Linked DNA regions of Canis lupus familiaris. The protein of the gene in region 2 purifies or fractionates together with the protein of the main gene of each other region. This does not show direct contact. Links are inferred from orthologs where the notes say so. Each region holds a gene or a part of one and is shown on either strand. Other genes may lie near its edges. The genes, in order: MARK2 and ARHGEF2.

Region 1 (3,795 bases), on a different chromosome or scaffold from region 2:
TCCACGCTCACGGAGTGCTCTCTCTTTTGGTGTTGAGGGCCCTGGGCTTTGCTTCCTGTCTGCCCTGAGGATGGGAGGGAGCAGCCACCCAGCACCGGCCTCCCCCAGGCCCCAGACTGGAATCCATTCTCTCCTGCAAGGCTGGCGGGCTGAGCCACATCTTGCCCACAGGGACTGGGTCCCTGCCTGGCTGGGAGAAGAAACAGGAGGAGGCAGCTCAGATTCCAAACATTCTCTTTATTACGTGTTTGATCCAGAGGAGAAACTAAGTGCGGGTGGGGGGTGGGCTGGTGGGGAGGGGCCACCTTGCCTGGGAGCCCCCCCCCATGGGCCACCACCCCCCTCTGAGAGCCAAGCCATGCCCTCCTGGCCCCCTGGCCCCCTCAGAGCACCCGGGCTGTTCCACTGGGCAGGAGGGGTTGGGAGGGAGGAAGGGAGAGAAGGAGGGAGGGAGGAGGAGCCCTTGGTCTGAGCCTGAGCTCAGCTCAGAGTCCACAGTTGGGGCTTGGGGCAGGAGGGCTGAGGTTGGCTAGGCCCCTTCCTGGAACCCAAGGGCTCGACTTGCCTCAGAGCCTGGGCTGGGAGTGGGGGGTGATGAGTAGGGGTGGAGTCATCATAAATCAAAAAAAGAAAAAATAAAATAATAAAATAAAAAATAAAACCCATCACAAAAAAATGTACAACTCAGGTGAGGGCAGGGGCAGCCTCTGTGCAGGACCTCCCTCCCCCAATTTCTCAGGAACAGAAACAGCAAAGAAATAAATTAAGGGATGCAGCGGCCGCCACCAGCCAAGCGCCCATAACCAGCCACTCCCACACTGGCCAAGGAGGTTAGCAAGCTGGGAGTCGCTGGGCCTATCTGTCCCCCCACCCCCTGGGAGGGCAGATGCTCCCGGCCCCGCTGCCCTGTCCAGCCTCCTGCCAGGTGGCCATGGAGGCCCTGGGCAGTGTCTCCTGAGAGGAGGGGCGACAATGTCAGGAAGAAAAGGCAAGGCCGGGAGATGAGTGGTGAGGGGAGTCACTGCTATGGAACGAGCTGGTGCCCAGATTAATGCCAATGAAGGGGGCAGGGGAGAGGAACAGCACGGGGCTGTGCTTTCAGACAAAGGCTCTCCCATAACGGAGAGTGCCTGGCATCCCTGTTCAGAGACTAGCAGCCCAGGCGGCCCCCTGGGGGCCGAGGAGCCAATCTGCCCTGCATCCGTCCCCTCCCTCTCCGGCCCAGGGGTCAGCCCCGCCTTCTACCCAGGAGGGGTGGGAGAAGATGGCACAGAGTTTTGAGGAGGGGAACAAAAGTCCCCACAGCAGCTTGTGGAAGGAAATGCCCAGCTCTGGGGAAGGAGGGGCAGAGGATACAGTAGGGAGGGGGCCAGGGCCCGGGCCTCACCAGTCAGCCCAGGGCAGCTGCCAGCCCCCCACCCCCACCCCCACCCAGCGCAGCGCCCCGCCCCCAGCCCGGCCCGGTAGGCCTCCAGCCCCGTGGCCTGAGGTCAGGGGAAGGCCACCTCTGGTGGTTTGCTTGCAGGGGAAGGGGGGAAGGAGAGGGGAGAAGCCCAAAGTGGGCCTGGCGGAGGGCCTGACAGGGAACTCCACCACTCTTGCCTGAGAGTGTTCCAGCCCTGAGCCACCCTCCCGGGAAACCCCACAGATCCAGTCTCAACTGTCCCAATGGGGCAGGGAGGAAAGGTGGCCGCTGGGATTTTTTTTTTTTCTTTTTTCTTTTTGGTAATAAAAAATTTCTTGGTTTAGGCGAAATACTCTGTGCAACCGCAGTACCGAGGGGGAGCCCTGCCCCCCCACCTCCCTCCCCTTCCTTTGCCTCCTGTTGGGGAGAGGGGGGAAGGGGGACTTTCTGGGCAGGGGTAAATGTTGGGGGAGGGGAAGAACCATCTCCCGTCCCCCCCCCACCCAACAAACATGGAAGAAAGAACCGAGAAGGGCGGAAGGGAAGAAGTGCCAGCAGGGGGAGACACACCGATCCATCTCCACAGTCTCGCCCAGGTGGGTTGGAGCCCGGCCCCAGCAGCTAAGTCCAGCTGGCCCGCCTCCGTCGCCCCCCACTCCCGGCAGCCTGTTAAAGCTTGAGCTCGTTGGCTATTTTGGAGGCAATGTTTTTGAAGGCCATGGAGGTGCCCGATATCCGCTTAAATCGGACACCGTTGAGAGACAGCCGCGGCAGTTTGCACACCTCCATCTCCCACTGCACGAAGTTCTCGTGGCCAGGCGTGCCGTGCATGCACAGCAGCATGTACTTCTCGTGCAGCTCACTCTGGCAGCTGTTCGCGTCCAGCACCTTGCGGATCTCCCGCATCATCTCATTGGGCTCCATGGAGCTGGTGGTCTTCATACTCCACGTGAAGCGTAGTGAGCGCGGTTTGGCCTCCCGAAACTCTTCCTTTTCTTTGTCGTTGCCTCCACCGCCCACCACGTGAGGTCTGCGGAGAGGGCAGAGGTGGGGGTCAGGGTGGGGGGCTGAGGCACCCCACCCACGGGAGAGCCACCCGGGCAGACAGCCCCCGAGACCAGAGAGGAGAGCGGGAGGGTGCCCGGGAGGCGACAGTGCCAGAGGAGGGAGCATCAGACCTGGTTGGGGGAAGCAGAGGGAGGGTGAGAGGGGTGGGCTGTTCTGTGACTTCCATCTCTCAGGGAGGGCAGAGAAGGGGAGGAAAAGCCAGGCCCCGGCGGGAATGGGAGGGCGCAACAGTTCCATGCTTGTCTTTGACGAGGGGAGGGTCAGAGAGAAACAGGGAGCACGTGCTCAACAGCCCTGAGCGGTTCACAGACGGGCAGAAAGCAGCAGCTGAGGTACAGAAAGGTGAGCTGGTTGGTCGGTAGGAATCTGTAGCCCCAACCGCCCAGCCTAGGGCTCCTGCTTCCAGAATGCACCAGATGGGAGAAGGACCCATGCCTTCGGCAGCTGGGCTGGGGTTTCTCTGAGGAAAGGGAGGCCCCAAGAGGGCGGGCACAGGGCAGAACCACCGGAGGAAGAGCCAGGTGGCAGAAGGAAGAGAGGAGCAGGAGGCTTGTGGCAAGCCCGGTGGCCTGGGCAGGGCTGGTGCTGGCTCCAGCCCTCTCACCTGAGCGTCTCCACTCGGTCTTTGCTTTCAGGTTCATTCAGGTTCCTCAAAAAACAGAGCGAGGGAGAGTTTAGTGCTGGGACCTCTCGCTCCTTCCACCGCCGCAGACCCAGGTGAGGGTGGGTCTGGTGAGGTGCCACTGGACGGTGAGCAGGACCCAAGCTCCAAGGTCACCTGCCCATCACCTGGCCTGGCAGGCCTATATGGCTCTGCAGCACCTCACACAGGCAGCTCAACTGTCCCTTTCCAGCAGGGAGCCCAGCACGTGGGGCCTGTCCCTCCCCACGCTCCCAGACATCTGTGCTGGGGAGAAGGAGCCTCTGCTCTGGGGGAGGAGGAGGAGGAGGGATGTACAGGCACACGCATCGAGCACGCAGCCACAGCGTGAGGCAGCTCCCCTACCAGCCCACAGCCAGGGTCTCACGCTGTGAATGGGTCTTCGACGCCAGTGTACCTGGGTCCTGAAGGTACAGTCCTTTTGAAGGGAAGGGGCTGCACTGGGGGACATGCTGGGGGAGCTGGACAGAAGCCTCTCTCAGGAGGCTCAGAGGGCCAAGAGCTGGAACTGTGAGTGGGCCTGGGGATGGGTGCCTGGCCCTGAGGCCATCCATGGACAAGCCTGTCTCCCTCATTCTTTTAGAGCTCCCTTGCCTGCCAGGCTGCCAGGCCATCTGCTTGGACAGAAGGGAGGACAGAGGGCAGGGCAGGGCCAGCACCT
Region 2 (4,512 bases):
GTTAAGAGACTGGTCCAGGGACTCAGACTCCGCTCTTACTGTGACACCAAAGCTGTCTGAATGGCACTTGACAGCTGCCTGCAATGCTCCCAAGTGCAGTGGAAATGCTCAAACCACCAGCCAAGCCTCACCCCCATTAGATTTCTGCCCTGCCCCTAAGACCAGGAGCCTGGACACCTCTTATGGCTCACCATCCACTTCCAATGGGGGGTGGGGAAAGCACCATGCAGGAAATGAACCTCAAGGGGCAGGAGAGCCCACAGGCTGAGGGGCCTGGGGTCCCATTGAGGGTCCCGGGGAGAGGGGGGATCCTGCACGGGGTCTTCTGCGTGCCCCCACTACTCACTCTTACTGCGAAGGGAAACAGACTGCAAAGCAGTGCTGTTCTTCAGCAGAGCAGCCTTCTGTTGCTGTGAGACAGAGCAAGAGAGACACCAAGGACAGCTGTCACCAGGGGTTGCCCCCACAGGCTTGGGCAGGAGCTGGGCAGCTAGCACCTCGGGAGGAAGCCAGCACAGCGGTCATGGGCATGAGGGTGGCTGAGCCCCACGCTAGGGGGCAGGTGTCCAGAGCAGCGGGCTGGCCGCATGGGGCCTGGGGTGCAGGGTGTGGGCTGCCCCACAGTGAGGAACACAGAGTGAGGAGTGAATGGGAAGGGCACACTCACTACCCTCTCCCCAGCCCACTGCCCGCCCTGCCATCTCACCTTCTGCTTGACCTTGGTACAGTTGGCGAGCGTGTCTTTACAGCGGTTGTGGATAGTCACATTGCAGGCTGGGAGGGTGGGGTAGAGAGGGTGAAGGGGGGGCCGGGTGGTACAGGAGGGGACACACACCCACAAGCAGGCACCCGTCTCCCCCTGGCCACACAGCCGCTGAGGCACCTCTTCCCAGACCTCACAGCCACGACCAGACCCGTCCCTCCCCTCGCCACCTCTGCCCCCTTCCTTCCAGCAGGAAATCAGGTGAGGGGATAGAGGTGGCGACCACAAGGAAGCAATGCTGACTCAGAGGTGACCTGAGGGGTGGGCCAAAGGAATTGCTGGCTGCCAGAGATGAGCTCAAGGAGCACAGGGGTGGCTGAGAGTGACAGATGGAAGAGGACGCCCACGGGACAGGAGGTGGCATAGAGCAGCTGGGATGGGGGCCAGGGGCAGGGGGCGGTTAACATCCCCGGAGCACATAGCATGTGCTCCACAGTTACTTGATCCCAACGACCCTTTGGAGCAGATTCAATTTTCCTCATTTTGCAGATGAAGAGCCCGCCACCCCAAGAGGTCAAATCACCTGCCAGAGGCCAGGCAGCCAGCAGCACAGCTGGGCTTGAAACCCAGGTGTGCCTGGACCCAGAGGCCACGCTCCTGCTGTGCACCACACATGCACCCAAGAACTATGGCCAGGCCCAAGCATTCAAAGGCTGGTGGACCCACTGCTGGAGCAGGGACAGGCCCTGCCCCATCTGTCTCCAATGCCCACCAGCCTTCCCCACTGCTCCCCTCTGACTCCTATCTTCCCCTTCCAGGCCCGGGGCCTGTTCCCCACCCGGGGCAAGCCCGCAGTTCCCCACACTCCACTGGTTCCTGCCCCATCACCCACCCTGCCACAGGGGGAGGAGGGAAGAGAGGAGCGGTCAGGCCTTGGCAGCAGGACCGCTGGCTGTCTCTGTCCCCAACATGCCTCAGCCCTCTGCCCTATCTTGCTTCCTCCGCCACGTCCAACAACACAGGAAACTCTGCCACCTTCTTCAGACAATACCCAGCACCAGGCTCACTTCCACAAATACAAGGCGAGCAGGGTGGGGTGGAAGGGAGGACCGGAGGGGGCTGGGGCTGCCCCACTCCCCTAGAGCTCCCTTCTTCTACCCCCGGCACCCAGTGTCTCTGGATCAAACCTCCGCTTTCCACCTGCTCTCAAAATAGCGCTTGCTGCCTGCCTCCCCGGTTCCCCTGGCAACAAGCTTCCCGATAGGGAACTCTGTCAGGTCTGGAGGGATCTAGACCAGGCTTCCCTCCTCATTTCCCCAGTCTAAGGTGGCTAGTGAGGAAGCAGGAAGACCTTGCTGGTTTTTCCATAGGGAATGAGAGGCTAGGGCCCTGGTCCTACCATCAGCAGCAGGGCCAGAGGCAGCTCAGCTACAACCTGGGGCCGCAGGGGCCTTCTGCACCAGCACGTGGGCATCCCAGGGAAGAATGCCCCGTTCTGACTTCCTAAATACGGACGTGCTGAAGTCGGGAGCTCTGACCCCTCTCCCCCAACAGAACACATTCCTGGTATTTTCCCTCTTTCTCCCTGTCTGTTGGTCACACCAGAAATTTGAGACAGATGGTCCTCATCCCGTCCTCTACTTCAAACTGCAGAGACTAAGATAATTCAGGCTCTCCCCAGTTGATAGAAAGGGAGGAGCAAGGGGTCCCTGAAATCCTGGCCATCCAGTTCTGCCCAGGAAGACAGGCAGAAGCAGGTGCAAGGCTGGCTTGACATCCCCTCCTCCCCAGGACTTTCCTGATCCTTCTTTAAGCAGTTCCCGGAACCCTCAGCAGCTGCTCAGTAAGCCAGGGGACACCCAGTGGACGACAGCTGCAAGGGGAGCCACCCCAGCACCACCCCCCGGGCTCCCAGAGAGCCCAGCTTGAGCCCCAGTCCAACCCACCCCCACCCCCCGCCCCTCGGAGGCAAGAGGCACAAGGGATCAAGCATCTGGCCCTGCCAGGGCTCTAAGAGAATGACCCAGGGAATCCAGGGCAGAAAGGACAGATGGCAAGGTTAGGGTCAGTGGGCACCGAGTCAGAATGACAGTCAGGATCCCAACAACTTACTTGGGCAGATAAGGGCTTCCTTGGCTGTGATGCTCTTGTTACAGGCATAGCACATGGTCATGCCCGAGACGGAGATGGTGGTAAAGAGGTGCCCGTTGGTGTAGCGGGCGTCCTTGGCTTCCTTCATCTTCTCCTTTTCCCGATTCTGCAGAAGGGGTGAGAGACAAGAAGTGAGGCTCAAGATGGCAGGTGCCCAGCGGTGCCCCAGAGACAGGTAGAGGGCAGAGGCCAGGTAGCGATGCCTGACTGGGATTGCCGCAAGGACGGCACTTCCCAGAGAAGGGCCTGCTGCAGAGTGTCACAGGCAGCTGTCCAAGGGTGCCCGGGGCCAGCCCCAAGGGCCTGGCTGGCCCTCACCTACCTGACCCCTGCGGCTAGGCTGCCTCCTGTGGCCACTCATCTCCCCGGCTCTGGCCCTCACGTCCTCCCTGCACTTCCCAGCCCTGCTCTGCTCGCCCCCGGGCTGCTGTACGCTCTCCTCTGAGCTGGGGGAAGATGCGCAGAGAGGAGGGGAGAGCAGGCGAAGCAGAGGGTGCCAGCTCACCAGCGCTTTCAAATCTATGGGAGTTAGCTGCTCTTATAACCATGACAACCAGCATTGGAGCCCAGGCTCCGCCGTCATAGTGGGGGGCAGGAGGGCCCTTAGTAGATTGGCTGGAGGCCAGAATGCCTCCGTGGCCACCCCCAACCCAGAGGTCAGATCCCAAAAGCCAGGGCCTCTGTGAGAGGCTGGAGCCTGGCTTTGGCCTCTTTGAGGAAGGAAACTCAGCCCACGGGTCTCCTTGCTTCCGGCAGGAAGTCTGACTTTTATTCCTTATGCTCCCCTCTGAAACCTGGGAGAGCTCTTGCTCCCCCCACTCTCCCTGCTCCCCCATCTCCCATCTTGAGTCCTTTCTGGCATCTACCCTCCATCCTCTGGCTGCAATGCCATTCTCTGGGCTCTAGCAAGATGGGGCACAGTGTATGGTCCCCAGAACCTCAAAGGCTGGTGGCTCTCATCCCTGCTGCACCAGCCACTGCAGGTCAAGCCACACTCTCCCAGTACTCTCTGGCCCTCAAATCCCTGAGCTTCCCCAAGAGCCTGAGAAGATGTGCGATGCCTTCCTTCTCTCCTATTGCAGGACCTTCCTAGGTGGTCACCTCAGACCCCCAATATCCCTCTGAGATGGTGGCAAACAGGACAGGGCTGGCGAAACCACTCCCCTCTCCTCGACTTCTGAGCTCCTCAGGAAGAGAGCAAATTCCACACTGCTGAGGCCAAGGGCAGGTGCCCAAGGTGGGGGACACTGACTGGCTGGGGCCCTGAGACACAGAATGGAGAGCCAGGGGACAGCCCTTGGCCTGAGCCTGACTTGGCTCCCACACACCAGCAGCTGAGAGGCTGGGGGGGAACCACACTGGGCTGGTGCTGGGCAGGCGCTCTGCTGGGACAGAAAAAGGAAGTGTGCAGGAGCTGAGTCAACAGTGTGGGGGCCAGAGGGCGCTGGGCCATGGTACCCTGAGCCTCCAGGCCAGGGTCCTCTGTCCCCTGGCTCCCTGCAGAAGCACCAGCTTTGTGTGCAGAGCCTGGAGCTCTTAGGGTCCTTCCCCACCTCCCCTACTTCTCCCGTCTCCGTCTCCTCCTCTTCCTATTTCCAGGTCTCCCCGCCACCCCCACCCCACGGCTTCCCCACTGCCCTTGGCTTCTCCCTCCTGAC

The links.
Region 1: the proteins of ARHGEF2 (region 2) and MARK2 purify together in Homo sapiens (affinity purification with western blotting; 3 studies listed by BioGRID and IntAct, with this or other methods). This does not show direct contact. The link is inferred for Canis lupus familiaris from reciprocal best matches to the Homo sapiens genes ARHGEF2 and MARK2.

The regions. Positions count from the first base shown.
Region 1 is NC_049239.1:53,608,199-53,611,993, forward strand, and holds the end of MARK2 (serine/threonine-protein kinase MARK2), read right to left. Parts: intron 3,123-3,795; coding exon 3,078-3,122; intron 2,436-3,077; coding exon 2,075-2,435; 3' UTR 218-2,074; downstream 1-217. UniProt on the Homo sapiens protein: Serine/threonine-protein kinase. Involved in cell polarity and microtubule dynamics regulation. Phosphorylates CRTC2/TORC2, DCX, HDAC7, KIF13B, MAP2, MAP4 and RAB11FIP2. Phosphorylates the microtubule-associated protein MAPT/TAU.
Region 2 is NC_049228.1:41,819,086-41,823,597, reverse strand, and holds the start of ARHGEF2 (rho guanine nucleotide exchange factor 2), read right to left. Parts: upstream 2,962-4,512; 5' UTR 2,943-2,961; coding exon 2,816-2,942; intron 775-2,815; coding exon 707-774; intron 411-706; coding exon 347-410; intron 1-346. UniProt on the Homo sapiens protein: Activates Rho-GTPases by promoting the exchange of GDP for GTP.